4 linked regions of the Caenorhabditis elegans genome follow. The protein of the gene in region 1 purifies or fractionates together with the protein of each later gene. This does not show direct contact. Each region holds a gene or a part of one and is shown in the gene's direction. Other genes may lie near its edges.

Region 1 (10,696 bases):
AAGCTTAATTGTTCTCGCCATTGTCATTTTGGCAGACAAATGCGAGAAGCGAACGTCGATAAGCTTTCGTGGATTGAGCGATCGGTGATAGTAGCGGCACACGGAAACTGGTTTTGGAATAACGATTCCAGCAGTGAAGGCGGCCTGGAAGATTCCTGTGACGTTTACACGTCGGGTAATCTCCCTGATGAGCACTGGAGCCACACGTCGAGAACGGAGATTCTTGTGAACGCACAGGAAGTTGATCTCCACCATGTTCACAGTCTTGTCGTACACGCGGACGGTTTGTGGGACAGCTCCGATGAAGGCCAATAAACGGTTGTTGCTGTCAGCACGAACTCCACAATGCCATTCAGGACGGAATCCTGGCACCTGGAGAGCCCACTTCAGGAAATCAGCGGAGTAGTCGAAGCGGAACATGGAATCATCATCTTCAACGTAGTTGCGGGTAAGAAGATTGTAGAGCTCGTTGAGCTGCTCCTCGTCACTTAAGTCAACGTTGGACCAGCGGAATCCGGCTGGAAGGGAGAATGGCTCCGCACGGACTTTGTCAAGAGCGATGTTCTCTTCAATAGCACAGTTCACATCGGCTGGTACGGTTTCGTCTGAAAATTTCTACGTTATCTTCTGTTATTCAATAAGAAATACTTCTGATTAAACTTTAAAAATGACTTTTTAAACGTACCCATTTGTGGAACTGGTTGAGTGCTCCAGAACTGGAAGCTCTTCGATCGCGCCTCATCCATGTCACGTGGAGCAGTTGGAATGTTGGGCATGTTGGATACATCGACACCAGCAAGACGAAGTTGATCGACAAGCTTAAACTACTTATACTTTGCAATAATTTCACAAAAATTCAAACTCACCGCTTGCACATCGTTGACAGATGGTCGAGAGCCACCGGCACCATCATCACCGTGATGTCCTCCACACGGAGCTCCGTCGTGACTGTGTCCGTGGGACATAACTAGGTTTCAAGTTCTGAAATATGAAAAGGATTTGAAGAGAGTAATGAAAATAAATTAGAGAAACGTGTAGAAGAATCAAATGCGAAAATTTTGATATCAGAATTAGAGTGAGGAATTGAAATATTGATTCTAGAATTTTAACAATAAAAATTGATTTTCCAACAGAATTATAGCAATCTCAATTGACATTTTTTGCAATATGAGTTGGCTAATAAACATAATAAAATTGTTTTAGCCTCGAAATCAAATAAAAACTCAGAAATAAAGGAAATATCACTAGTTTCAGCAAATTTTGAGGAATTTTTCCTAATCACGAAAATTCTGCAATTTGCCGTGTTAGTGTTTGCACACAAGACACCTAATTTGACGGCACTTCTCTGGCTTCTCTTGTTTCGGCATAATGTCTCGCCGTTTCTACGGCTTTTTCCGTTCGATCCCTCCAACACTATCATTTCAATACAATTATTTTCCTTATTTTTCCTTTACTTCTGCATTTCTTGAGTTATTTAAACAAAACTAGCTAAACATTAGCTACCATTTATGTCAACTGGCGTTTTCAGTTCTCTGCGCAACATTTTTCTAACTTTATTCCACCAAAACAGGTGTTTTTTAGTTTAACTGTTCCTTTTTCCTTTGTCCCTTCCATCTTAAAAGAGTTTGTTTCAAAATGGCAGCTAGATGCCCCGGGCGGTCTGATAAGAGAGGAGTTTCTGGCCATGACGGTGCAATCAGTTGAAATTAAAAATATAAAGAAAAAATCAACCGTAAATCGATAACTTTTCTGGTCTTTCTTCGTCTGAAACTTTAAGTTTCTTATCATCTCAACAAATTCTTCATTTTATTGTTTTATTGAGGCAATAAGTTGAATGGAAGTTGGAGAACAATGCCATCTTAAATTGATAATCAAATTCAACAACGCTGGAATTTTTTCCAAGTTTTATCAAATTTCATAGCGCTTAAATTCCTATCAAAAAATACTTGGACCAGGTTTTTAGTGCAAACAAATGAATCATAGATGGTGATAAAGTTCTCGTTTTGGAAGGTTTTAGAAGTCAACAAATAAATATTTCCGTGCTGATATCATTCACCCTGCGTCACCTTTTCTCTTTTAGGGAAAACTTGTTATGATTTTTTTGAAAATTCATTAAACACTTCAGAAGGATTGCTAGCAATATTGCTAAATGAAGACAGGGCTAATATTTGTGAATCATTTTCTCTTTCTTTTTAATTTTAAACTATTTTGCGAAATATACCACAAAAAATGTTTTTAGTTTCTTTTGTGTTTATACCTTCATAACTATTCAACTAGTAGCAACACTTTAATTCCATGCTCATGAATTGACTAGATACTATAAGTTTAAAACTTCACCGATCAGCTTGAGAGATCCATCCAAAATAAGCTCTTTTCCAATTTCATTCTCTTTTCCCAAAATCCTCCAATCTCTTTGAATTAAGCGCCAAATAAAGTGGCGGATAGCCGGCGGTATTTTGTGCGGATTGCACTATGTTTTTTTATCATCCGTAGCCTGCGTCTCTTTGCTATTTCTGTGTATCTCTAGTTCTCTACACAATGTCTTGGCTCGGCGCCCTTTTGCTCGTGTTTGCATTGAAGACGCGTCCTCCCCTTCTTTGACGACACTTTTCTCCCCTACTTTCCATGAGATCAATTGAATTCTATAAATATTCAAGTAGATCATCCAAATATTGGTAATTGATACAATATTTAGCTTGAACGGACTGTAGTAGTCCTGAACTTCAGTTCTAATAAAGTAATCCGCAAAAGGACTCTACAAAATGATTCTACAAAAAGTTCAGTCTACGATGTGTTATTGTTTTTGCAATTTTCAGATTACTTATTCTCTAGTTCTACTCCCATAATAAATAATGGAATAAATAGAAAAAAAGTAGTGAAAGAGAGGAGAAAAGTGTTGCCGATAATCCTCTCTCCGCCACAGGCGGCAACTTTCTGATGCAGACAGGAACAGAAAATATTGCGATTTTTTCTATTTTAATGTTGACTGTTTTGTCACGCGATTTTTGAGTTTTTGGTTTTGTAAAAGTGTTAGACATTTTATGTTTAAATATGATTATGTCAAAAGTAAGTCATGAGCCTTCAATTTAAAAAAATTCGAAAAATTTACAACACTTTTATCGGTTACTAACAGCGTATATGAATATAAAAAAATTACTTCTAACTTTCCTATTTTTTCAAATCGGCAACACTTGTATCCTATTTTACTCCTATTTTACTTTTTTTAATTCTAAACTCCCCATTTCGCTTCCTTTTCATGATTATCATAATTTTCAGAGTTTCTCACATCAACCAGTTGCATCCACAATTTTCTCGATATTATCTGCAAGGAATCCTCTGGCTAATGTGCTCTCTCCGATCGACGACGGCGACGCCATCCTCGATTTTTACTCATCCATCAACAACAAAATCAAACAAGACAAGAAAAACATCAGAAAATTTCAAAAATTAATAACAATACACATTTATTAATAATCAAAAATTCATTTTCGTTGGCGCCGCGCTTCTCGAATATACGGAGAACGGAGGAGGTGGTGGAGTTACGATGGCGCCTGCCGTCTTACAAAAACCCGGTGTTATCAAGGATCCATCGATTGCTGCATTGTTCAGTAATAAGGATCCAGAGCAGAGATATCAAGATTTAAGAGAAATTGGACATGGATCTTTTGGAGCTGTCTATTTTGTAAGTTTTCTGTTTAAAAAAATTAAATTCAGTTAATTTTCAAAAAATTACTGGTGCGAAATTTTGCCATTTTTGAGTGTGCGTCTTTAAAAAGTTCTGTAATTTCAAAATTCTGTTGTTTTGAATTTTTTATCGACACTTCATAATTTTCGATAGAAAAATGTATATTAATCGAAAAAAATTTAAAAATTAAATTGTTAGAAACCCTGTAAAAATCGATTGAGATTTTACAGCAACGAACATTTGAAATTACAGTACAGACCGGGTACCGTATTTTACCGAATATCGAAAATTTTCCGATTACTTATTTCTTTTCTTTATTTTTGAATAAAATAAATTTGAAATTATTTTCTCATTTTTTGGTTCAGGCGGCTTCAAACTTTCATTAAATGAAATAAAATATATTGTATTAAAATTTTTTTTTTCAGGCATATGACAAAAAAAATGAGCAGACTGTTGCGATTAAAAAGATGAATTTTAGTGGAAAACAGGCTGTCGAAAAATGGAATGATATTCTTAAAGAAGTGTCTTTTCTGAATACAGTTGTTCATCCACATATTGTCGACTACAAGGCTTGTTTTCTTAAGGACACTACATGTTGGGTGAGATTATTTAAAAACAAAAATAGTTTTTCTATAATGCTAAATATATCAAAACGTTTAAGCTAATATTCTCGATTTCAGCTTGTGATGGAGTACTGTATTGGCTCTGCAGCCGATATAGTGGATGTCTTGCGAAAAGGAATGCGAGAAGTCGAAATCGCTGCGATTTGCTCTCAAACTTTGGATGCTCTTCGATATCTTCACTCTCTGAAGCGAATACATCGAGATATTAAAGCTGGAAATATTCTGCTATCTGATCATGCTATTGTTAAACTAGGTAATTATATTAATTTATTTGGTTTTTCAAAACTTCATTGAATAATTATAGCTGATTTCGGATCCGCATCCCTGGTAGATCCGGCTCAAACTTTCATCGGAACGCCGTTTTTCATGGCCCCAGAGGTAATTCTGGCAATGGATGAGGGTCACTACACGGATCGTGCAGATATTTGGTCATTGGGTATCACGTGTATAGAGCTGGGTGAGAAATATTTTAAATTATACTTGATAATTAATTTTATTATTTATAGCCGAACGTCGTCCACCATTGTTCAGTATGAATGCAATGTCTGCCCTCTACCATATTGCTCAAAATGATCCTCCAACTCTTTCTCCAATTGACACTAGCGAACAACCGGAATGGTCGCTGGAATTCGTTCAATTTATAGACAAATGTCTTCGAAAACCAGCAGAAGAGCGAATGTCAGCTGAAGAATGCTTTCGACATCCATTCATTCAACGGTCTCGCCCATCAGACACAATTCAGGAACTCATTCAGAGAACGAAAAATATGGTATTAGAGTTGGATAATTTTCAATACAAAAAGATGAGAAAACTCATGTATTTGGATGAAACAGAAGGAAAAGAAGGAAGTGAAGGAAATGGAGCATCTGATGATTTAGATTTTCATGGAAATGAAGCTAATTCAATTGGAAGAGGTAGTTTTTAAAATTCAAAGTGAAAATATTAATATCTTGGAATAATTTTTATAATATTGCTTTAAACCCTCAGCTTTTTTTTGCAGACTCTATCCCTTAGTTGTTCGTTTTCCATCTATTCTCGTTTTCAGCAGGAGATTCTGCGTCATCTCGAAGTGCTTCTCTTACTTCTTTCCGATCAATGCAGAGTAGTGGAGGAGCTGGTCTTTTAGTGTCCACCAATACGACGGGTGCTATGGATAATGTGCATGGTACTGTACTGTTTTTTTTGTTTTAGGAATGGCTTTATTATTTCCTGCAAAGTTCAAAAATTCCATTTATTTTAGTTTTTCTCTCGAAATTCATCGCGCAACATTGAGAATCTTTCAAAATTTTCAGGATCCTCTGGATACGGTAATGGAAGTAGTTCGACGACGAGCTCCGCACGCCGCCGTCCTCCAATTCCTTCGCAAATGCTCTCTTCTACATCAACGTCTGGTGTTGGAACTATGCCGAGTCATGGATCAGTTGGAGCATCGATTACGGCGATCGCAGTCAATCCAACACCGTCTCCTTCAGAACCTATCCCAACATCACAACCAACATCGAAATCAGAATCATCTTCTATACTCGAAACTGCACACGATGATCCTTTGGACACGTCGATACGTGCTCCAGTGAAAGACTTGCATATGCCGCATCGAGCAGTCAAGGAACGAATAGCCACGTTGCAAAATCACAAATTCGCGACGCTTCGTTCCCAGAGAATAATCAATCAGGAACAAGAAGAATATACGAAAGAGAACAATATGTATGAGCAAATGAGCAAGTACAAGCATCTACGACAAGCACATCACAAAGAGCTCCAACAATTTGAAGAACGATGTGCATTAGATAGAGAGCAACTGCGTGTGAAAATGGATCGAGAACTCGAACAATTGACAACGACATACTCGAAAGAAAAGATGAGAGTGAGGTGTTCACAGAATAATGAACTAGACAAACGGAAAAAAGATATCGAAGATGGGGAGAAAAAGATGAAAAAGACGAAAAATAGTCAAAATCAGCAGCAGATGAAACTGTATTCAGCGCAACAATTGAAAGAATACAAGTATAACAAGGAGGCACAGAAAACAGTGAGAATTCACTTTTATTTGATTTCTGTAAAGAAATTATACGAAATTTAGACTTTATAAATTTTTAAATATGAAAGTTCTGGTCACTTTTTCAGCTGCTTCTCCACTTTTTTCAAAGTTTATTATTTAGTCTTGAATAATTTTTTAAAAAATGTCCTAAACCAAGAATTTTCAGCGATTACGAAGTCTGAACATGCCTCGAAGTACTTATGAGAACGCAATGAAAGAAGTGAAAGCCGATCTGAATCGAGTGAAAGATGCACGGGAAAATGATTTTGACGAGAAGCTTCGTGCAGAACTTGAAGATGAAATTGTAAGGTATCGCAGGCAACAACTCAGTAATCTTCATCAATTGGAAGAACAATTGGATGATGAAGTTAGTTTGGAGAATTTGATTTTAACCAGAAAATAAATTTAAAAGTTTCACTAATACAAGAAAAGTCGATTTTTTGAAAATTGAAAAACGAAACATTTTCCTTTTTTTAATCGAAAATCAACAATTCCCGGTTTTCGAGTTTTCATAAAGTATCTTTAAAAAATTGACCATTTTAATATTTTTTTGAAAGAAGTTTACATATTGTTTTGTTTTTTGTTAAGTTTTTTATCAACATAAACACGATTGGATGTTTAAAAAATTCGGAAAAATCTAAAATTCTAACATTTTTATTTTCCCCTGAAAAAAATCTATAATTTTTTCGATTAACTCCTTGACCAGAAAATCGTTTTTTCAAATTGTGAAATTCATATAACTTTAAAAAAAACTTGAGCCTTTCTTCAAGTATATAGATAAATATGAATTTCTTCCCAAAAATCGTCAACAGTTACTATTCAGTTTATATATTCAGGACGTAAACGTGCAAGAACGCCAAATGGACACGCGTCACGGATTACTGTCAAAGCAGCATGAAATGACGCGCGATTTGGAAATACAGCATCTCAACGAGCTTCACGCGATGAAAAAACGACATTTGGAGACACAACACGAGGCGGAATCGGCAAGTCAAAATGAGTACACACAGAGGCAACAGGATGAATTGAGAAAAAAGCATGCGATGCAGTCAAGACAACAGCCAAGAGATTTAAAGGTATTTTTGAATTGTGGAGAAGATTTGATTTAGTTTATTCCTGAATATTTTCAGATCCAAGAAGCACAAATTCGAAAACAATACCGACAAGTTGTGAAGACTCAGACTCGCCAATTTAAGCTCTACCTTACACAAATGGTGCAAGTAGTTCCAAAAGATGAACAAAAAGAGCTCACGTCTCGACTAAAACAGGATCAAATGCAAAAAGTCGCACTTCTTGCTTCACAATACGAAAGTCAAATCAAAAAAATGGTTCAGGATAAGACAGTGAAGCTCGAGTCGTGGCAAGAAGATGAACAACGGGTTCTTAGTGAGAAGTTGGAGAAAGAATTGGAAGAATTGATTGCTTATCAGAAGAAGACGAGAGCCACATTAGAAGAGCAGATTAAAAAGGTGAGCGGAAATGTATACAACATTCTAACATTTGTGCTGAAAACTTTTTTTTTTGAGTTTTGAAGAAAATTGGAAAACTGAACTAGCTCCACTACTTCAACTAAATTTATATTTTCAGGAACGTACGGCACTCGAAGAACGAATTGGCACACGACGTGCAATGCTTGAACAGAAGATTATTGAAGAACGCGAACAAATGGGAGAAATGCGTCGACTAAAGAAGGAGCAAATCCGTGATCGACACAGTCAAGAACGCCATCGTCTCGAGAATCATTTCGTACGGACGGGCTCGACGAGCAGAAGTTCTGGTGGGATCGCTCCTGGTGTTGGGAATTCAAGCAGTATTCAGATGGCTATGTAGAATGATGTTGTCTCTTAATTCTACTACACTTCGGGTCGTCTACCAATTGTTTTCTTTTTTTGTCGTTTTATACAAAATGTATGCTTGTATGGACAATTAATTGATAGTATCTTCCAAATATCTTCCATCTAATTACGGTTCCAGTTCGTCTTTTTCTATGTTTTTTCTGCACCACCCTCATTCTCTCACTTTCTCCATGTCTTCTCCCTTCTTTTTTAGCTCCCAAAATCCAATTCTTCTGTGATAGATGAAAACCACGGCTAAACCCAATGGGGTACGGTATCCCGATCTCCGGGATACAGTAACCCCGAAAATACGTGCAATACTTCTCAACTATACCCAATTTTTCGTTCCTCACCTTCTCTTCCTAATTTCATTCAGAAACGAAACTTTAATCGGTGCTCTCAACGTTGTTTTCTCTATTTTCTCTAATATTTATAGTCTATTTGATATCTGAACCCCATCATCATATCATATATTCCAATATATCTCCTTCTCTTCTAATTTACTTATAAATATATTATAAAACTTTAATTATTTAGAAAATGCATTAACTTTAAATAACAAGAAAAAAAAAATTACAACTTTTCTGCAGAAAAGTTGTAATTTCTTATTTTTATATTTTAAGTTTTTTTGCAGATGATTTATGTAAAATAATAATTTTGGGTCGGTTTCCATAAATTGGAAATGAAAGAGTTGTTGAAAATGAAGGGAAGGTGAAAAAACATCTATGAGGGGCCCTAATCGTAACACACTGAATTTATGAAAGGGACATTAACAAAAACATGAGAATTTATCAGTTTATAAAAAATATTCTAACACTAAATAAAATTGAATTATAGCTTTCGAACGGGAAGGTTTCAAGATGAAAAATGAGCGGGGGGTTTCAGGGATTTCATATAAAAATTGTATTGAATAATAGAAAAGTAGAAATTTTTGATGGGAATGGGCGCAATTGGTGGGTAATCTTTGTTTTTTTTGTTGACTTGAGAGGAATAACATAAAATATTTAGAAAAATATAAACCAATAGAATATATAATAATTCCTACAACACACAAATCAAGGTATGAAGAATAAAGGTAATGGTAGAGACGGAGAGAATAGGCTACAAAACAAAATTTAAAAGATTTAAAAAAAAACAAAAAAAATCCAAAAAAACTTGTATTCTGAGTTGACTTTTATAAACGACGACTTGTTCATATCTCGGCTACCCAATAGAGAACAAAACACTGAAACTTCTTATTCTTCTTCCAAAAACGGAAAATATCACACACTGGGGGGAGCTGATGGGGGCAGATTTAACAAATAATGACGTCATCATTTATGTTTTGAAGCCGGCGTTGAGCACTGTGTTGACGAAACGGGCGTCTGGAAGAGCTCAGGACGTGTCTGATGTTCAACAACTCCGGGTCCGCCAAGTGGTGGCTGCCAAACTTCAAATCCATGACTGCGAAGCTCGCCGTCAATCATGTCGAGAAGAGTTTGTGGCGTGTCTAAAAATAATTTTTTTTAATTTTAGGTTTGATTTTTTGAACAAAACTTTTTTCTTCGAAAAAACTCAAAAAATAAGCAAAAGGCGAATTTCTACTGTAGTAAATGGTTTTGGTGAACAAATATAATTATTTCTCTCCCAACTCATGAAAATCTAAAAACTTTGATTTTTCATTCTGGTAAATGTAAAGTTTTTCGATAATTCGGCAATCGCTATTTTTTTTTGTTTTTTCCGGCATTTCGAGTGATCATGTAAAATTTTGGTAATTTTTTTTTTGTAATGAAATTTATTTGTTTTTTAATGTTTTTTAATCAACATAAACCAAATTTAGTAAACACATTAATTAAATGATTGATTTTCTGAACTTTATCTTTCCATTTTTCGATTTTCCGGAAAATCGAAAATTTTTTGATTTTTGAAAATTCAAACATTTTTGTTTTTTTTTTCGATGTTTTCTTTGTCAATATACTCACTTGGCTTCAAGAACGCAAAAACTGATCCACCACCACCAGCACCCGTCATTTTTGGATGTATTCCATATCTAGCCAATGTCGTACAAATGAGATCAACTTTTGGATGGCCAACACCCAATGCAATGAGCAATTGATTGTTTATCCGACATAGATCCTGGAAAAATACAAAATATTGAAATAGATTTGAAATTTTTGAGAGAGGTTTGGTGGAAAGTTGAAACTATTGGGAATGGATAGTAAGAAGGGAAGGATGAGTGAATTGTGAGGAGAAATAATAATTTTTATTTATTTATTCATTCAAGTCAATTAAAAATACGGTTAATTTGTTCATTTTTTATTAAAAAATTTTACCGTAATTGTGCCTATCGATGATGTTCCTTTTTTCATTTTTTGGAAAATCTCTTTCAAAATAATAATAAAAAAAATTAGTTTTTCGAATTTCCTATATTTCGAAAATTAGGTTACAACATAAAGTTTTGAAATTTTTGATTAATTTCAAAACATTTTTTTTCGATATTTTGATTTTCCGGAAAGTCGAAAAATCCAAAATTATC
Region 2 (6,207 bases), on another chromosome or scaffold:
ATTGTGTATGCGTATTCATATTTTTTCTCGAATCCAACATTTGTGTTATAATTGGCTTTATGAGTGATACCAACAATAAATATTATCAGTAAACATGATAAAATCGCAAAAATTAAAGAAGGAAATATTTTAACTTGATTTTTCAAACTGCATAACATCTTGATGGACTTGGTAATGGTTAGTGTTTTCGATCGAATAAGAAGAAGAACTTGTCATTTACAATCTCAATGCCTAAACCAGTTTATGTATTTGGCTAAGTAACTTCTAGGGATTTGATGGAAACTTAGATGTAGTATGAAGCTAATTAACTTATAACTGTAAAGTAGAAACTATTACAAAAATTACAAACAAAATTTACTTCCAATTTTGAATTATGATATAAGTCATACGTATTGAAAGTACCATTGCATGTTCTTACAGCAATAACATTACACAAGTTCCATAACGACAAAATTTTCATCAAAAACTACATTTAAAAGTGGAGCAATAACCGGGAAGTTTTTGAAATACTCGGTGATAAAATCTAGGAAATGAATTACAGTTGGCCAAACAGCTGAAAGTGATTTATTTATTTTGATGCTTATCATTTTAATTTTGCTTTGAAATACGCAAAATGTGCCTAAATGCCGAGATATCACAAAAGAAAAACCCAATTCTGACATTTAATACATATTTTCGCTTATTGATTCGTCGTTAGACTTTTATTGGCAGTCTCATATTTTCCATACGCAAGTGATGCATTATCTAGAACTCGAAAAAAAAGAAATCATTTTTTGATACCGACAAAATTTTTCTGTCATAGCAACAGAACTTTACAAGCTCCTGCGTGCAATCATCGAATAATTAGATGTTTCGTTTTGTGTGAAATTACTCAAACTTTACTCTACTTTTCAACAAACAAAAAGATCTTGATTTGAATTCAAATTAGTTTTAACCGAACGTAGTTCTGATTTAAACCATCATACAGGAATAACAATTAGGTAATATATTACCACAGGGAGTATATATTTCCCCGAATCGAGAAAAATCTACCAGATTGTAAACATCCTCGTTACTTCTTGGATATTTTTCACAAAAATATTCTTATTACGAATTTCAGAATTTCTACCACATGGATGTATCCAATGAGAATGCCAACTCTAGTATTATGACAATGGAAGCAAATGTGAGTAATTTTTCTTTTTCCACCAATGGTGAGTCTCCTAGTTAGGTATTTATGAGGAAAAATCAATTGGAAGATTGCTTTTTAAAATAAACTTTTAAAAATATACTAAAATGCCAATCTTTCATTGCCTGTCATATATGAAAAATATCTGTGATTATCATTTAAGTAATTGCCAGTTACTTTAATTTCAGACCTTTTACGACACTGTCATATTTCCAATTTATTTTTGGGTTTATTTTGGTTTTACCATGTTCAGTCAAACTTCCGTCGTGCTTTTAGTTGTTTTTAAAACGCCCGTAGTATTCAAAGATTTTCGTGTCTTTCTTGTCAATTCTTCAACTTTACAGTTTTTCATGTGCATAATAGTTGTCTTCACACAAGTCAGGTTAGTTGTACGATAATATTAATTTTTAGCTAACACTGTTCCTTCAGACCTGTGAACAATCCAGAATCGTCAGCATATCTTTTTAGCGGGTTTTGTAGACACACTCATAAAAATGCTTGCTTTTTCAGTTTTGATTTTTTCCAGGTAAGTGTCCTGTAATTGTTATTTTTTACAAATATTCAAAATTCAGTTAGTCTTTGATGCCTCGTCCTTTGCAATTCCTGCTACATTGTTTTACAAATATACAAAAGTAACAAATATTAATATGAAAAACATAACTAAAAATCAAATCAGAATGATTCTTTTAAGCTCTTACCTTCTATCTTTAATTGTGGGGGTGAGTTTTGCTTTTCGTGATTGATCTAGAATGGAAATATGAATGTTTCTAGGTGATCTATGTGATAACGTACGAACCAGACGAATCTCTTGAGGTTGCTTCAGAGACCAGGAAGTTTCATTCAACACAATATGATTTCCGGTACTATGCGGATATCACTGGATATCAAAAACATTTTTGGAGCTGGTTAGCAACAAATTTGAATATGATAAGCATTTTCGTCCCACCAATCATGAGTATTGTGTTTATTAGGTAATAAATTTGAGTTTCGAAGAAATACTTACCAATGTGTTTCCAGACTAATACAAATTAAACTCAACAGTTTAAAACATTTATTTACTGATAAAACTGCTGCTCAAGCCAAGAAGTTTGATCTTGCTTTGACGATTCAGACACTTGTCCCTGCAGTTTGTGTGATTCCTATATACATAGCTCACTTAATACTTGAGAATTATGGTAGGCTCCTGTCCGTTTTTACAGTAAAATAATATGTGACAATTTTCAGACTTGCCGTTTCTCTCAAATTTTGAAAAAGTTCTATATATGATGCTTTCTCTTCCAACAGCTATTGATGCGTTCATTGTTATTGTCACCATCACACCGTACCAAAAAGCCTTTATTGCGTTTTTCAAGGATACGTTTTGTGGCAAAAAAGTTTCACCTGCAATTGTTAGACGTAACAATATTTCGGCTGTTTCCATTTTTTGAGCATTTTGAATAATTGGTAATGATAGTGGTGGACTAATCGGAGTAGTAATCGGAACTTTGCTCAATTGAATAAAATAACATTGTTCAAAGATATTACACAAGCACTTTTATAACAGTAATAAAAAATACCGACAAATGAAAAACATTGTTCGAAGATCTGCAAATAAAAATAACGATGAAAAAATATTTACAGTTCAACATTACACTTTAAAATAAAGTGCCAAAGCTCTCAAACAATTATTGTTAAACAAGTTTTTGGATCTAGAGAGACTATTCACCGTATTTCCTCACCAAATTAATTCATTTTGACGTCTAGTGTCGCACTACGTTTTAACGATACTAGAAATGTGTTATTAAAGCCCTAAGAAAAAGCTTATTGTTTATATTTTGCTAGTTGGCGAATGTCTGACAAAATTAAAAAAACAACCGAAAAATAAGCAGCTAAAGATGGAGAGATGGGTGCAAGACTATTGGACACGGAAATTATTTTTTTTTTAAGCAAATAAAATTTTAAAATTCCTGAAATCATAGTTGTGTTTTCATATTGAAAACTTGATCAATTGATCTTCCCTCAACTGTGCTTGCACAAAAATAGACACAATTCAAAGAGACGCAGAGGAATTAACAGTCACAAAAATTGTTACACTGTCTATGGTCTCTTCGGGAAGTAACTTTGAAAATACTCTCTACGTAAACAGATATTTCATATTTTAGTCACGGAAACTACAAACTTCCATTCAACCATGAAATAATTTTAACTGCAATGAGTATAAAAAGAAAACATTAAACTGCATTTAAACATCACATTCATCTGATTGACATTTTATTTTTGTAATCTCAAAATAATGGCTCGCTTTTCTGGAAAGTCTGTCATTATAACTGGTTCTTCTAATGGAATCGGAAGATCGGCTGCTGTGATTTTTGCAAAGGAAGGAGCTCAAGTTACAATTACTGGAAGAAATGAAGATCGCCTAGAAGAAACCAAACAGCAAATATTGAAAGCAGGAGTTCCAGCTGAGAAGATTAATGCCGTGGTTGCTGATGTTACCGAAGCATCAGGACAAGATGATATCATCAACACGACTCTTGCTAAATTCGGAAAAATTGATATCTTGGTATGTACATAGATAGAAAATGAAATATACTCAATTGTTTTAGGTTAATAATGCTGGTGCCAATTTAGCTGACGGAACAGCTAATACGGATCAACCAGTGGAGTTGTATCAGAAAACATTCAAGTTAAACTTCCAAGCTGTGATCGAAATGACTCAGAAAACAAAGGAACATTTGATAAAGACAAAAGGAGAGATTGTAAATGTTTCCAGTATCGTTGCTGGCCCACAAGCAGTAAGCTTCGGGAGAGAGGATTTCAGAACTTTTGTTTTAATTTTCAGCACTCTGGATATCCATATTATGCTTGCGCAAAAGCTGCGCTTGACCAATACACCAGATGCACTGCAATCGATCTTATTCAACATGGTGTCCGCGTAAATTCTGTCAGCCCTGGAGCAGTTGCCACTGGTTTCATGGGAGCGATGGGTTTACCAGAAACTGCATCTGACAAGCTTTACAGTTTTATTGGCTCACGGAAAGAATGCATTCCTGTTGGGCATTGTGGAAAGCCAGAAGAAATTGCCAATATCATTGTATTCCTGGCTGATAGAAACCTCTCATCTTACATTATTGGACAATCGATTGTTGCTGATGGAGGATCAACTCTTGTTATGGGAATGCAAACACATGATCTTATGTCCGTTCTTAGTCAGTAAACTATAACTTTTTTTTTCAGATTTTGTTAACCATTGTTATCTAATGTAATAGTCGTAAAATACACAATAAAATACATTGAATACTTTTATATAAATTGTGGTTTTAGGAATATATTACTTTTCTTTCGTTCACAAAGAAAAACAAGAGTTTCTGCTGCAGTTAGAAGTGTTGCTCCAACATATAATCCAATGGTTCCTCCAATTTCGGCTGAAAACTTTCAAAGTTACAAGCACATCGAGTAAAACTCACCAAGAAGTAAAAATAAGTTGTAGGATCTTTCTTGAAGAATAGTCTCTTGTTTAAAGTGTGCAAAATAGAACTTGATGTGAAGAAGATTTACTCTGAAAAAAGTTTGTTCCGTTGAAAGTACCAAGTTTAATGTTTATTTGCACGCATACACTCAATTAGAACAAGACGTCACGGCGGCGTCGTTTGCCATCACTGAGCTCACCCTACTCACAACTCAGATTACGCTTAAAAGACTTACACATCATATTGAGGAGTTGGAGAATATGACTGGGCCATCAAAACTTGGTTTCGAAGTCTTGAAAGCCATTCGCCACGGATGAATCGAGTTTTCTTTAAAATATAGAAATTAAAATCAGATCTTGATTTTTAAACTTTGAAATATTTTCTTATTTTATGTATTATTCGATTTTCCCCGTTGATCTTCTATGTATTACATTTTGTTACTATTTATCAAATTTCGAATAAACAAACAAACAAATAAATGTAATTTTTAGGTATTTTGAATATTTCAAAGTCAGTAATTATTCTTGCCTTTAAATTTGGCGCTTTTTCGTGAAGTTCATCCAAACATTTCGAGAAATTTGAAAATTTATCACTGAAACTTTCATCTGCAGCAATTCCTGTCAATACTGCAAACTTTCTTCTACTTTCTGTTGCTGCCAAAAAGGTTTCTGATAATTCATTCGCCAATGCTGGAATATCCGTAACCATAGTTTTTCTTAATTTTAGCATTTCTTCAATTTCCACATGGTCTTTTGCTATTTCTCGATACGATGATTCAAATTCTTTTAAATCAATTTTAAAATCTTTCCATTCACTCATTCGAACTCTTGTTTTTAATATTTGCAGTTTAGCCAACACTTTCTTCATGGCTTCTGTGTAAAGTTTAAATGATTCCGAATTTGGATTTGTTTTTGTATGGACGTTAGATGCTTCAATAAGTGGAGTGTAGCGATTCTTGAAAATCTAAAAATAATTATTATTCTTCAAATCCATGCATTAGTTTGACATACAATTCTGCAATCTTCTGCAATCTCTTCAACTCTCTCCAGATTTTCATACATTTTGGTAACACAGTCTCTTACTTCAGTAATCAGTGGATGGGCTGAAAGTATATGAGGAATAGAACTCTTTGCTTTTGCATGCTTACCCAATCCTAGCACAACTCTTCGAGTGCTTTCATGCATCATTGTCAATCCATAATTAAAGTTTGCCTTTCCGAGTGAATTTTCAATTTGTCCGAGTTGTAACAAAGAAATTGAAGCCAGCGTCATGTTTACAACCGGTGTTACTGTATCATCAATTTCTCCTTTTTCAGTCAAAAATAGTCCTAGACAAAGAGCAGTGCTGTTGAGTTCTCTGGCCAAAGAATGTTGAAGATACCTGAAAATAAGAATTTTTTTTTTCAGATATTCAGAGTAGACTTGCGTGGTTATTCTTTCCCATGTTGGTTCATAAGAGTAAAATTGATTGATAAAACTTTCATAGGTACGACCATCCAAAGAGAGACACTTGACATCATGGAAATTATCGGAAACTCCAAAAATCTGAAAAAAAAGAGGTCGTATTTTAACTTAATTTGATGCTCAAAAT
Region 3 (6,694 bases), on another chromosome or scaffold:
TGGATTCAGAGAGGAGCTTGTAAACAGACTTGGGCCGATTGATGGGTTTGAGATTTGGGAGCGATTCAATGTTGCATTCTCGTGGATGCCTTTGGCATGTCTTGTTGGACACAAAATTCTTTGCATGCACGGAGGAATTAGTCCAAAATTGCATAGCTTGAAAGAAATCAATGAAGTTTGTTTGTGCGGGGTTCGTGTTTTGTAACTTGAAATGTTTTTTTCCAGATCGATCGTCCAGTTGCAGAAATTTTGCCAGACTCTCTGGCTCAAGATTTGCTTTGGGCTGACCCAGCAGATGGACAAGGAGCGATGACTGTTAGATCGTAAGTATTTTCTGTTTTTTTTAATGTCAAAAAATTAATTTTTCACTTTTGTAACTTGAGTACACGTAGTATATTTAAAGGTTGAGTAAAAATCAATTGATTTTGGCTAATTTTCAATTGTGTCTAATCTCCTCATTTGAATTACCGCGCAGCACTTTGTAGATCTGCATCCACGCTATTTTCTTCACTTCCGACAAACGCGCCGAAATTTAAATGAGGTTGAAATTTTGCCAAAACAATTGAAAATTTGCCGAAATCAACCGATTTTTTTCAAAAATGTTTTTGGAAAAAAACGTTTTGGTCTCCAACCCTGATGGGTTCATTTTTTACTTCACGAACTATAGTGCTAAAATTTTTTGAAAACTTGATCAAATAAATAGGGAACCACGAAAAAAAATCCAACTTTTCAGAACTCCGGAGTACGTTCCCAATGGTGTCCGTGGACTTTCATTTATTTTCAATGAGGCAGCCGTTCGTGATACTTGTAAACGTCTGAATATCAATCTGATCGTTCGAGCTCATCAGGTATTTTCCAAAAGACAAATAATTAATTGCTCTCGATTCAATTTTTAGATGATTCCTGAAGGATTCAAGTTCTTTGCTGATCAGAAACTTCTCACGATATTCTCGGCTCCGCGTTACATGAATGAAACCGATGTATGTCTGCTGATGTTAAACCACATCTGAAACTGTAAAATGGCATTTTCAGAATCACGGCGCCACATTGAGAGTCGAGACAGATGGAAAACTGAATATTGGGCGTTTTCGTCATAAGAAACTTCTTCATGCAAATTCAGCTGATGAAATCACTCGTGGAGATGATATTCCTAATTTGGAAAGAAAAAAGTCGGGTTCAATGCCAGTCAAACATTTGAAAACATCGTCGTCGTCGTCGCCGTCGCACTCGAACGGCAAAAGCAAGGGCGGAGAGGGGCTTTCTCTTGGAAAGATTTAGACTGAAATTAATAGTTTGTGTATAATTTCCAATATTTTTTGCAAGAAAAGTGTAAGAAAAATTTTGAATTTTTTGAATTTTCAGGTTTTTTTTGACAAAATTCAGTACAAAATGAATGACTAAAATGAATAAATATTTTATTTGAAAGATAATAACAATGCAAGCGTTTTCAAACGTGCGGTATAATTGTTTCTGACTCCAATCATTTAGACCAAACAAAAAAATCAAATGATGATTTCACAAAAACTACAGTAGCAATAGTTCCATCTTCCCTTTCGATATCCCAACCATCGGAACAATCAAATTCTTGAAAACCGATTCTGAAATTGGAAATTGATACCGTATTTCCTATGTCAGTTTAGCATCCCTACAGATTTTTAAGTAAATTAGAAATTTATTCACTTGTTGCCAGACCTACACATTGTTTGAAATAAATAAATAAATAAATAATTTTTTTGCCAAAGAACAATCATTTTTCCTTTTTACCACTAATACCTGTATACTTTTTCTCGGCGTACTTCGTCCCATCGACTAACTACTATTTCATTCAACACCACTACCCAATCTCTTATTTTGAAATCATGGTCCAAGTGGAATCTTCTCAATTCTTTCATGTTTCCGTTTAATCAATTACGGATAAAATGATTCAAGTATTCTGGAGTAAAGCTATGGTTCCATATTGTCAGTTCTTCACACTTCATCAATTTGAAGTCCTCAAGTGTAAATCCTGGATTGAAGTAAGAATCCAGTCGGCGAATATTGAATAAGTTAAATTTAAAATTACAGATAAATTACGATTTAGTTTATTATAATTATTAATATTAATGAGGAAATCAGTACTTACTATATTTTTTGTCAAAGTATAAAGTTTTGTTAATAAAGTTTTGTTCCAGTTTTTTGCTTGATTCTCTAGTAATTATTCGAGTACAAACCAGGGGTGGGCGGCAAATTTACCAAATTTGCCGAGTCGAAAAGTGTGTGGGTTTGAAGCCCGATAGCATAATATTTTCAGTCCGGCTGATCTTTTTGATATCCGTAAAAAGCTCAATTTGTTGTTGTTATTGACCAAATCGTTTGGATCATTTATGAGTTTTCTCTACAATGGACAAAAATAAAGATTGTTGTTGTTTACGTTTTGCAAATATTAAAAGTTATTTGAAAATCTCGTACTTGATTAAAAAACTCCTCTCATAAAAAGCAGCACGTTTGCAACTTTAAATCATAATTTTGTTTGCCATGTACTTCATTCTCTGCCTCCTAGCAATTGGTGTCAATGCTCAATTCACTTCAACTGGTCAATCAAGCATTGTGGATGCTCATAACAAATTGAGATCCGCTATTGCAAAGAGTACCTATGTTGCGAAGGGAACCAAAAAAGAACCAGCAACTGATATGAGGAAAATGGTAGGTTTTAAATTGCCCAATTATGTCAAATAAAAAACTTAAAGTTTTCTTTTTTCAAGAGTTTCAAGTCATTCAAGTTGGGGTAACTTTTGGCAATCATATTTGAACAAAAAGCCCAATGATGATACTTCAATAAACTTTTCAGGTCGTGGATTCCACCGTAGCTGCGTCGGCTCAGAATTATGCGAATACGTGCCCAACTGGACACTCAAAGGGAACTGGATATGGGGAAAATTTGTATTGGTCTTGGACTTCTGCGGATGTTGGATCCTTGGATTCCTATGTGAGTCGCATAACTTTTCTGGGACAGAAATCAATAATTCTTTCCAGGGAGAAATCGCCGCTGCCGCATGGGAAAAGGAATTCCAAGACTTTGGCTGGAAGTCTAACGCAATGGATACCACCCTATTCAACAGTGGAATAGGACACGCTACTCAAATGGCTTGGGCAAACACCAGCTCCATCGGGTGTGGAGTCAAGAATTGTGGACGAGACGCATCGATGAGAAATATGAACAAAATAGCTGTAGTCTGCCAGTATAGTCCACCGTAAGCACTGAAGTTTTTGATTTTTTTTAACTCAAAATTGTTCAAAAATATTCAGAGGAAACACTATGGGACGGCCGATTTATAAGGAAGGAACTACGTGTTCCAGCTGTTCCGGATCTACTAAATGTGACACTGCTTCTGGGCTTTGCGGATAATGAGAGATTTCACTTTTTGTGTCTGTAATTTTTTAATTTATTTGTTTTGTTTTAATCTGGGAATTAATTTACTAATGAAGCATTTGTTTTTTCTTGGTGATTATATAAAAAAAATAAAGCGAAAACTTTAAATTACACCAAACTTTTTTAAAATTTACGAAAATGCACACAACATCAAGTGCAGGCAAAAGTAAAACATTCTACTTGCCTATGTGCCAACAACAAAATTAGGAAGAAAATTCACTTCTTCCTAATCAGAATACTTGTTGACTTGACTCAAATGTTCATAATTACTGATAAAAGTCAATTCTTTGGTCTTGTGCTGCCCACTTCCGATCATACGTAGCTTACGATTTCTCAATTATCATACAATTTTACAGGTTTTCGCGTGATAAGACTCCTATAAAATGAACCGCAGTGATAAACATATTCGTGTTGACTTGCACTTTTTTCTCCAATTATGAATTACTTGTTGCTGGTTGTGGCGCTTGCTGTTGGCTGCTCCGCTGATTTCGGCTCTTCCGGACAAAACGGAATTATCAATGCACATAACACTCTGCGGTCTAAAATTGCAAAAGGTACCTACGTGGCAAAAGGAACTCAGAAATCGCCGGGAACAAATCTGTTGAAAATGGTATGTACATAACTAAGGTTCTCAGATTTATTTTTGATTTCAACTTTTCAGAAATGGGATTCCGCAGTCGCCGCATCCGCCCAAAACTACGCAAACGGGTGTCCGACGGGACACTCTGGAGATGCAGGCCTTGGGGAGAATTTGTATTGGTATTGGACAAGTGGATCTCTGGGAGACCTCAATCAATATGTCAGTCATTTAGTCTACCTTGTGCCTGCCTGCCTAGACCTACTGCCTATTTTGTTCAAATTTTGCCTAAATACAACATGCGAATATTGGCAGTAGGCAGGAGGCAGGCGCTTGATACCTTCTTTATTTTAAAAGTTTCTGAAATTTCTATAATCAATCTTTTCATTCAGGGATCTGCTGCGTCGGCATCATGGGAAAAAGAATTCCAAGATTACGGATGGAAGTCTAACCTTATGACTATCGATCTCTTCAACACAGGAATCGGACACGCGACTCAAATGGCGTGGGCGAAATCCAACCTGATCGGATGTGGAGTCAAGGATTGTGGAAGAGACTCAAACGGCCTGAACAAAGTAACCGTCGTGTGCCAGTACAAGCCGCAGTAAGTGAGATTTGTTGACTAGTCTATGTTGACTGTGTCTGCGAATGTTGTGTTTTGTGTTGTTCTCTAGGATAGGTTTGCAAAAAAGATAAATTTTTGGTCACGTTCCCTGAAACAAAATCCAAAAAATTAGGCAATTTTCAACAAATTTTGATCATTTTGAGGAGATCATTAAAAACAAAAAACCCAATAAAAATTATACAAAAATACGAAAAATATTGTTGTTGGCGAAAAGTGAACTGTGCTTCGACAACTGGTAAAGTAGTCTTGAACACTTTGTGAGTTAGGATTTTTCTGAAGAGTAAAAAGTAGTTTTAGGAAAATTAATTTCAACCGAGACAAAATTTTTAACATAAAAAAAAATTGAAAAGTGTATGTGCGAGAGAGCCCTGTTGAATACAAGCTACTGTTTGCTAATACATCAATTTTCAGAGGAAACTTCATTAATCAATACATCTACGTATCGGGAGCAACCTGTTCCGGCTGTCCATCAGGAACGTCATGTGAGACTTCCACAGGGCTCTGCGTCTAAACTTTAATAATGCAATGTGTTTTCAAACTTTCTGTAGATAATAAATAAAATTGTGTGCTAGTTGAAAACCAGAACACAAACAACCTTTGATCAAAATGCCTATGTAACAAATGCGACGATTACGTGTTCGAAATCCTATTGGCAGATTTGGAGTATAATGAGCAGTTAGAACTTTATTGGGAGGTCAAAGACTACTTGTGTCTAGAGATGTATCTAAGTTATGAAAAAAGTTCAAGCTATAGGTTTTTTGACTACGATATCTTGTATGTATTTTCAAAGATGTTGGTGATTTAGTTGAAAGTTAACAGCTTGAAAACGTTTTTATTTTTCCGTTTCTGACTTCCATGAATTTCAAAAAATTACCGTATGTCTGTATTGTTACTATCTACTGTGTGAAATTTCAAAAAATGAAATCCAACTTCAGCCTCCCTTTTGTATATAAAACAAACAATGTCAACATAAAACTCTTACCAATTTAGTCTATTTCTATTAAAGCACACGTTCTTTAGTTTTTTCCCTCTTCCCATGACTTTTAGTTTCCCTCACGGCGACGACGACATCCAGTTGTTCATACAAACTAAAATCTCCTATAAATATCCAACCTACTAGTTGTATTTTCAACAGACAACATGCACACCTTTACTCTTCTCGTTTTGGTTACCCTTCAGATTGGTAAGTTTTTTTTTTGGAAATTTTTGAAACTAATTTTCTTCAATTTTTCAGGAGCTTATGCTCAATTCAGAGAAAGCACTCAACAATTCATTGTGGACCTTCATAATAAGCTTCGTACTTCAATTGCCAAGGGAACATATGTGGCTAAAGGGACAACAAAAGCAGCTGGTAGTAATCTTTTGAAAATGGTAGGTTTTCGGCAGTTAGTTACTTTGTGATTTTCCAATGAATGGAACCTTCAGTTGAAGGTCTTTGCTAGGTTCAAGTGCTCTTCAGAGCATTTTCTAAAGTTTCAGTCGGCTTCTCTACAGATCTGGGAGCACTTGATCTGGAGTTAATTAAAGGGTCTGATGTAGAGCTGGCGTAGACTTCTTAGACCTCGCCTACTATCGCCTACTACTCACTCCTTATACCTCCAATACCATTTCAGAAGTGGGACACCACATTGGCCACCGCTGCTCAAACTTTTGCTAACACTTGCCCGAGAGGTCACTCCAATGCAGCTGGAGTTGGAGAGAACTTGTACTGGAGATGGTCCAGCCTCCCATTCTCCGGAATGGATATCTATGGAGGAGCTGCATCTGTTGCCTGGGAACAAGAATTCCAGCAGTACGGATGGACAACCAACACTTTCACTCAAGCCCTTGCTAACACTGGAATTGGACATGCTACCCAAATGGCTTGGGCTAATACTGGTCTGATTGGATGTGGAGTGAAGAACTGCGGACCTGATCCAGAACTAAATAACTATAACAGAGCTGTTGTGGTTTGCCAATACAAGGCTCAGTAAGCATTTGAAGCAAACATGCACATAAAAACGATGAATTTTCAGAGGAAACTATTTGGGTCAAGACATCTACAAGTCAGGAACCACTTGCTCAGCGTGCCCAACTGGAACCA
Region 4 (7,601 bases), on another chromosome or scaffold:
GAAACTTGTCTGAAATTAATGAAAAATTTAGATTGAAAGTTCAACTAAACCAAAATTGAGAAAAAGAGGAATAATAGATCAAAAAAACATATGAGAAAACTAATACAGAAAATAATAAAAGCCAGTGACTGAAATAAAGAAAAAATCACGAAGGTGCTTGTGAACACTGGTAATATAATGGTATAATGAAATGCATGAAAAATAAAAAATGACAATGATTGTACTTAAATGCATAATTTCGAGAAAAAATGAGTTATATATATATATATATTGGGCAATTGATTTAACTTTCTCACAAGCAGAAAACTGTTGCAACAAATTATATACTTTCTATATAACTTTAATATTCTCAAATTTATTAATTCATGAACGGCCAAAACCAAAAGTCAACAAAAATCAAAAGTAGTTTAAGAAAATTTTAATATTCAGTTGCTGCTTCCCTTCGTGGTAAATGTGATCTTAGAAAACTTTTCGGGCGCTTATTTAACTGCGTAAAATTATAAAAATTAAAAAATGTTGTGATTTAAGCTATATGTAATTGCTGGCAATAAATAAAAAACAATTACCAACATTTCTTAATTGTTTAGTTTATTTTTTTATCAAAAAAAGAAAAGTTCAACAGCATTTTCACATTATAATTCGAAACTCGTATCTAGAAAAAGCAACCTATGAAAAATTTAAAAATTTTTAACCTTGTAAAGAATGTATTCAGAGAATTTTTCAGATCTAACTTGTGTTTGAATAGTTTGAATATTTTAAAACAAAAAACCAAAAAAAAACGCAAACTCAAAAAATTCGAAATACCTCAGATGATACAAATATTATCTCTTTCTTCCTCGCCCTTATAAACAAATCTGAAAGGGCAAATTAATGGTTGTGAAAACTATGAATGGGAAGAAGACAAGCAGTTGAGTGCACTGTGAAGTCACGTCAGCAGACCAAATAGTAACGGTACAAAGGAAAACACGTGAAGAACGAACGAAAACGATATGGGTGAGGACGAATAGACGAAGAGAGGAAATGATAGCGGACAAAACTGGATTTTGGTCATTCTTCGCTCACCCACAAATTTCTCCTCCCTTCCCGGAGAAAAGGGAAAATGCCGCCAATGGCTTAGCTGTTATTACTTTGGACAAGGTGGACGAGAAATCCGATTGAAAATTAGAGCGGATGGAGCCCACGAGGGAGCTTTTATTGACGTAGAGTTTTGACCAGTGAGAGGAAACTAGTTTTATTGGAAATTTCGTGGAAATAGGATAGCCTCAAAGCAGGCAGTCTCAAGGTGAATGGTTTAATTCTTGTTTTATTATATTCTAAGAAGTGGTTCACAATTCATTGAATGTTCTGAGAGACTAATAAGATTTGTTTTAGTATAGCTAATAAAATACACTGCTTGATTTTTTTGATGGAAGAAAAAAATAATGAAAAATTATGTTTTCTTCATGCATAAAACAAGGAACAGATGACGGCTCAAATAAGGCTCGAGTTTAATTGTAAATTGAAAATTAAAAAAAGCAAGCTGTACTTTTTTGCTGATTTACACAGCTTCCGACATAAAATGGAATTCTAAAATTATTATGAATCGCTAAAAAATGTTAAAATATTTTTGACTTGATGGGAACTTGTTTGTAATCTTTCAACATGGTTTTTACTGGTACAAATTTTGACGTGAGAAACATTTTTGTACTTTTAAGCTCATAAAAAATATTTACTACTGAATTTACTATTAAAAATCCAAATTTGGAGGCAACTTTCAGTCAAATTTTGTTTGCTTACAACTTTCTGGCAATATTTTGCGGTTGAAAAGCTGACATAAACACTTCCTGGCAACTACGACGATGTTGCCGGAAAGCCAAAGTATTTCTCAAAGGTAAGCGCCAAATATGTACATATTGTTAACCATTTCAGGAAACCGCATTCAATGATTTTTTTTAACGTTGTTCATGTTCAGAAAATCGACCAGATTATTTGTGAGTGGAAATATTACACTTCTACGGTGAAGGCGCTTAATTTTAAAAAAATTAAGAATAATAGTAAAACCTTATTTTTGGAATCAGGATACACATTACAACATCTTTTATATTTATTAAGAAGAAAAACTGGATAAAATGTTAAGTTTTGTAACCGTATTACCTTAAATAGGTTCACTGAGCCTCTATTGGGAAGTAAAGCAATCCACGACTGGATTATCGGCCACAGTCCCCGGCTAAACCACAAATATAGCCCAGTGGGATCACCACCAGGCAAATGATGAACGTGATTTGAAATTTGAAGTTTTGTAACAATTAATCTATTGTATTGTGTTATTAAAAAAAATGACAATGGTTTTCACATCCTCGCGGAGCAAAATGAAATTTGTTTTAGATTCTTGCAGAATTTAAATCCGGAAAAGCACATTTACTTTTGTCTATTAATAAAAATTTCTATGTAGAAAAAATTGTATTTTAAGAGATAGTTATGTCTGTAACAAAAAGGTTATCTTGCATTTATAGTTTTTACGTTGGAAAATACGTTAGTTCGTTACTTAATGTTCAATTCATAAATACTCGTTTAAAAAAACAAACAGAAACGTGATAAAATATATGAACACCGCTACGATTCCAAGTTTCAAATGGCTCAACCAGCCCTCGTTCTCTTGAATGTTTGCCCACTTTTTTCTTCTCGACCACAATTTCCGTCAAGGAAAAGTACACATGCCTACGTGTCATTCTGTGAAAACATCTGTTCGCCATTTTAGTAAACATAGCAAAAAAATTGGTTAGAAAGGTGCTAAAAGGTTAGGAATCGGAGTGTGAATTGGGAAATTGGAAAATGAGGAATCATTGGAGAGAGAGAGAGACAAGAAGAATTAGGCAGCATCTGTTCCTGTGACGTTTTGCCAGGTGAGGGAGGGTAAGAGACAATATGTACCATTATATACAATCTATTTGATATTGGATGGTCTCTTTTCCTAAATTTTCATATTATTCTCTTTAACAGTCATGCAACTTTTTGTTCATCTTTTATGAATGAAAGTTATTCCGATAATGTTTGATGTTGACTGTCAATTTAAGATTTTGCAGTAACTGATAAAATGAGATGATAAAGCACTTGATAAAAAGAGCACGTTTTCAGTTTTCTCACTCACTTCCCTTCTGAAACTTTCAAAATTTCAGCGGAAAAATGGGCTTGTCTCCTGCCGCTGTGCTGATTTTTCTCTTATTAGGAGTTTCCCAAACATATGCAGCATTCTCCTGCAAGGATCAGTCGGGAAACGATGTTGACTGGTAATATATTTTCAAAACAAAAATAATTTACTAATAAGTAGATATTTAGGTTCGCAGTGTACAAAATGCCAATCGAAAAAGATGATGGATCAGTGACAGGATTGGCAGGTGGAGTTGCATGGTACTACGTGGATGTGAATAAAAAGGGAACTTTGACTCCTTCTGCTAAAACTCTCGACGACAACGACCAAGTAAGAAAAATTTTCATTACAAAATTCAGGAAGTAGAATTTCATAAATTTTAGAAAATACTGAATAGTATATTTTTGTACAGCTGCGGAAGTGTTGCAGTAGAGTGTTACAACCTTTTCGCTGAAGTTATTTTGTCTCCAAACTTTTTCTTTCAAATTGCATTTCAATATCTTTTTACATGCAAAGTACTGTATCTAGACCTTATGATTTCGATTAATATTTGCAATGTTTGTAATAGAACTGTTTAACAGTTTTTTCACACATACAAGGTCGAGTATATATGAAATTTTTCCAGGCAATTGCATACACACTCCAACAATACTATGACAAGCAGAATGACAAGACCATCTTCCACGTGATGTACAATGATGAGGTAAGCGAAAATAGAGACTCAGACAGCTGCAGAAACATCAGAATCGTTTGATTTGGCATTGATAAATGCTCACTTGACCATGACCTGGAGCGAACAACTGATAACAGAGAGCAGAGATGGAAACCATTAGACATTTGCAAGTGTTTCTTCTTTCAGCCATGGGGATCAAAGTCGACAAGTGGAATTAAATTGGAAGAGATTCTGAGCAACAGAGTTTATAGCAACTATACTCATGAAGATGACAGTACTTCAACCGCATTCGGACATACTAAGGGAACCATTTTCTTTGATGGAACTTCTGGAGTCTGGTTGGTGCACAGTGTGCCATTGTTCCCAAATCCCACGAAATACGAGTATCCAGTCAGTGGACACGACTATGGACAGACAATGCTTTGCATGACATTTAAGTACGCTCAATTGAAGTCTATTGGAACTCAACTTTTCTTCAATCGACCAAATATATATTCTTCGAATCTTCCAACGAACATGGCTGCTGACAATGCAGATTTGGCTAAAGCAATCGCTGGACAATACCAAAAAGGACAGCCATTCCAAAGCGTTATTGAGTTGGAGACTATGGCTGGATATTCGTTTACTAATTTTGCCAAGTCGAAGGAATTCAATGCAGGTGAGTAGCAAAATTATATCGTATTGCAAGGTTTTTCTAATAACTTTTTTTGTTACAAAACTCTGCAAACTCGAAATAATTTCAATGCTTTAGCTATTTTTGATCATTGTGCATTAATTGTTTGCTAATGGGGTTATTCAAGTAATTTAGCGAAATGTATTTTAATACACTTTGTGACGTTACAATTGTATTAAAATGCATGATTTGGTGACTTGAATAATACAAAAAGTGTGTTTGAAAATACTTTTTGAATATCCGACACTACTCGAATAACCTCATAACTCTCAAACATTTTAAAAATACCGTGTTTTTGTTACAATCAACAATACATTTAGCATTACTAATTTTGAAATAATAGTGTGAATGTAGCCATACTATACAAAAAATACGGCATCATATTTACATGAATATAATTGTGAGATTTTCAAACCTACACAAATACAGATGAAATTTGTGTTAGAATTATTGCGCAATGGGGTTTAGGAAGTTCAAGTTCCACATTTTAATCAATGGTTTTCGTTTTTTACAATTTATTTTACAGATCTATACGATACTCTTGTGGCTCCAACACTGAAAACAGATTTGGTCGTTGAAACATGGAGACGTGGAAGTGAGATCCCACTTGACTGCAAACTAACCTACCACGCCAATGATGCTCTGTCAATTCACGTGAGTTTCAACACTTTCCCTTTTGAAACCTTCCGTCTTGTGGCAATTGTGTCACTCGATGAAATCAGTTTGTCAACAGAAGATTTGTAGGTTGGTAGTACAACCGCGTTCTCATACACCAAAGACCACTCGAAAATGGCTCACTCAGCTGATATGACAAAGCCGTGGGTGTGCATCGGAGATATCAACCGAATGGTGAGTAAAACAAATGGTTAAAAAACTCGAAGTGAAATTTTACAGACATCTCAATATGTACGCGGAGGAGGTACTACTTGTATCAGCAGCTCGTTCCTTTGGAAAGCCTACAGTGTAATTGCAACCCAAAATAATTGTGCATAAAATTACATCTATGTACTTTTGATTATCTACAAATAAATATGATTGATGTACTTCTTAAAAAATTAGTGTGACAGAATTCCAAAAAAAAAAAGAAGTCATAAATCTCAAATATTGCCAGAACCTCTTATATTGTAACGGAAACTTTTCTCTCATTTTTTTGTGTGTCTGGAAAACGAAATTTCTGAAAATTATAACTATCTTTTAATAACCACATTTAAAAAAAAACAGTATTACTGAAAACAAAATCGAATTAAGTGTTTCATCAAGTTTCATGTAATTATTACTTGAATTTATTTTGAGGTTTTCAAGTTGGTGAACAGTTATTGCATGTGCACTGCTCTGCAAGATATTGATTTAGCGTTGGTGAATATTTCACTTTTCTGTAGGTAAAAAATGTGTAAGACGAGGTGAAAAGGGCCAAAAAAAAACCACACGTTTTGGAGATATATACTTTATCAAACTCCAATTCAGCATTTGGTAGTTGGGTGAAAAAAAAACCCCCAAAGGTGCAAAAAATTATTGATTGTTTATTAGACGGTCACTCTGTTCATTGAACCTATGCAATTTCTTACAAACACGTATTATTCTTTTCATATAGAAACGTCGAACATTCCCTAATGGAAAATTAATGTTCTACATTTTGCAAGTAAATTTTGCAAAACTGAATTGAGATTAAAATATCTAAAATTTACAAAAGCGAATAACACGAAACGTATATCGGTCAGTTTATAAATTGTATAATCGAATTAAAAAATGCCGCCCGATGTTTTGCAAACTTCGCGCTTTTTGTTAGCTGCCACCGTACCATGCCAAAAGAACCTTTTCGAATGCTAATAACTTTCCTGCCCTCTGTCACACTATTTTCACAGTTTTCAATCACGTCTCTTCATTTTTTTCTTGTCCCCCACACCGCTCCACCCTCTCTTTTTCATTTTCTCTTCAGATATTCGTGTCAGTGTTGTTTCTCGCAGCTAAAAGTTAAATATGTAGAAAGAGAGCGCCGATGTGTCGGTGCCATGATGAGTGTTTGAGCACGTTCTGATTAACCTGACTCAAAGGTTAATCGAAGTAAAAGACACTTATGTAATCCCAAGGCAAACAAAACCAATCAACACGGCTACCCCTTTTACTCTTCTTTGCTTTTTTCTACTTTCTTCTCTCAAGCCTTTCCTCATTTTTTTCTCTACTACCCATTTGGTTACTTTTTTTTGTCTCTGTAGACCCACGGCTCCCCCTCCTATCCTCCCACCAATGCTAACCGACTCATTCGCTTGCCTTCTTCATGTTTTACAATTTCCGCGGGGCCAAGCCAAGGGGCCAGGGTGATGCCGCCCTACTCTCGGCCTCCTCCACCTCTCAATATCTGTTTCCAAAGCCTTATCACTTTCTATTGATATACATTTCACTTTTATTATTTTAGAGAGGAAAGGCCACTACCATCAACGTCCCACCAGATTCGACATACACTCATCCGTTATTCCCAATCGAAACTTTGTGAAACGAACTCCCACATATCTACCAAAACAGAAAACCCCGACTTTGTTCGACGACATATCAGATTGGTAAGTTTTTTTTGTGATTTTAAAATTACTTTCTCAAGTTCAATAGAGAAAATATTTTGTTTTATTATCCAAACTATTTTCCTCAGTGTTTGAAACTGTTAAAGTTTTCAATTGTACACCTAGAATTGTAAGTATTCGTCTGCATACTCACCAGCCATAAAAATTCGCAAAATTTCGTAAAAGGCAATTTCTGCAATTTCTGTACAGAAAATTAATTGCATCGAATTTGTTAAATGAGTATGGCATTTATTCTAAATTTTATTTTTTATTCAACGAGTTACTGGATTTCAAATTACTGATGAAACATGTGCAACGTACTATTTTCCTGACAAAGCATAAGGATATCCCGAAACCCAAGATTGTTATTAAACTTTTCATTTAACTTTTTGGCTACTAAAAACAAATATATGCAAGTATTTCAATGCAAATCTTACTATTAGCAAAGTTGTCCGTAATCATTTGGCATATCACATATTTTGTGAACTCAGAAAACCTATTCTTTGTTCTTTCTTTCGAACTTACTGTACCTATCATGTTGTTGGTATTCTTTCTCCCGCCAAGTTTCCTCACGCG

The links.
Region 2: the proteins of kin-18 (region 1) and F25D1.5 fractionate together in Caenorhabditis elegans (co-fractionation; one large-scale study listed by BioGRID). This does not show direct contact.
Region 3: the proteins of kin-18 (region 1) and scl-2 fractionate together in Caenorhabditis elegans (co-fractionation; one large-scale study listed by BioGRID). This does not show direct contact.
Region 4: the proteins of kin-18 (region 1) and nuc-1 fractionate together in Caenorhabditis elegans (co-fractionation; one large-scale study listed by BioGRID). This does not show direct contact.

Annotation. Positions count from the first base shown.
Region 1 is NC_003281.10:6,115,351-6,126,046, forward strand, and holds kin-18 (Serine/threonine-protein kinase SULU), read left to right. Parts: upstream 1-3,276; 5' UTR 3,277-3,544; coding exon 3,545-3,682; intron 3,683-4,110; coding exon 4,111-4,284; intron 4,285-4,365; coding exon 4,366-4,561; intron 4,562-4,612; coding exon 4,613-4,765; intron 4,766-4,814; coding exon 4,815-5,222; intron 5,223-5,353; coding exon 5,354-5,473; intron 5,474-5,600; coding exon 5,601-6,337; intron 6,338-6,512; coding exon 6,513-6,713; intron 6,714-7,182; coding exon 7,183-7,422; intron 7,423-7,476; coding exon 7,477-7,815; intron 7,816-7,933; coding exon 7,934-8,176; 3' UTR 8,177-8,715; downstream 8,716-10,696. Other genes in the region: nmt-1 (Glycylpeptide N-tetradecanoyltransferase), read right to left, coding at 1-605, 686-824, 867-965; mvk-1 (GHMP kinase C-terminal domain-containing protein), read right to left, coding at 9,495-9,670, 10,143-10,296. UniProt on the Caenorhabditis elegans protein: Acts as a negative regulator of cortical contractions during early embryonic cell division, possibly by regulating rho-1-dependent actomyosin contractility.
Region 2 is NC_003283.11:10,543,986-10,550,192, reverse strand, and holds F25D1.5 (DeHydrogenases, Short chain), read left to right. Parts: upstream 1-3,409; 5' UTR 3,410-3,440; coding exon 3,441-3,710; intron 3,711-3,753; coding exon 3,754-3,942; intron 3,943-3,989; coding exon 3,990-4,364; 3' UTR 4,365-4,450; downstream 4,451-6,207. Other genes in the region: F32G8.2 (uncharacterized protein), read right to left, coding at 1-158; srd-34 (Serpentine receptor class delta-34), read left to right, coding at 1,112-1,165, 1,513-1,550, 1,598-1,694, 1,741-1,887, 1,940-2,139, 2,186-2,343, 2,393-2,595; degt-1 (Acid-sensing ion channel 1), read right to left, coding at 4,451-4,572, 4,615-4,706, 4,853-4,944, 5,146-5,580, 5,628-5,719, 5,765-5,997, 6,043-6,161.
Region 3 is NC_003282.8:13,053,877-13,060,570, forward strand, and holds scl-2 (SCP domain-containing protein), read left to right. Parts: upstream 1-3,833; 5' UTR 3,834-3,845; coding exon 3,846-4,019; intron 4,020-4,070; coding exon 4,071-4,208; intron 4,209-4,378; coding exon 4,379-4,590; intron 4,591-5,022; coding exon 5,023-5,122; 3' UTR 5,123-5,186; downstream 5,187-6,694. Other genes in the region: F49E11.7 (Serine/threonine-protein phosphatase), read left to right, coding at 1-175, 226-323, 734-848, 897-980, 1,033-1,278; scl-1 (SCP domain-containing protein), read left to right, coding at 2,515-2,682, 2,828-2,965, 3,013-3,230, 3,286-3,385; scl-3 (SCP domain-containing protein), read left to right, coding at 5,752-5,794, 5,846-5,982, 6,225-6,580, 6,627-6,694.
Region 4 is NC_003284.9:9,536,784-9,544,384, forward strand, and holds nuc-1 (Deoxyribonuclease-2), read left to right. Parts: upstream 1-3,121; 5' UTR 3,122-3,162; coding exon 3,163-3,266; intron 3,267-3,315; coding exon 3,316-3,457; intron 3,458-3,752; coding exon 3,753-3,830; intron 3,831-3,986; coding exon 3,987-4,458; intron 4,459-4,999; coding exon 5,000-5,127; intron 5,128-5,217; coding exon 5,218-5,322; intron 5,323-5,367; coding exon 5,368-5,466; 3' UTR 5,467-5,546; downstream 5,547-7,601. UniProt on the Caenorhabditis elegans protein: Hydrolyzes DNA under acidic conditions with a preference for double-stranded DNA. Implicated in apoptosis.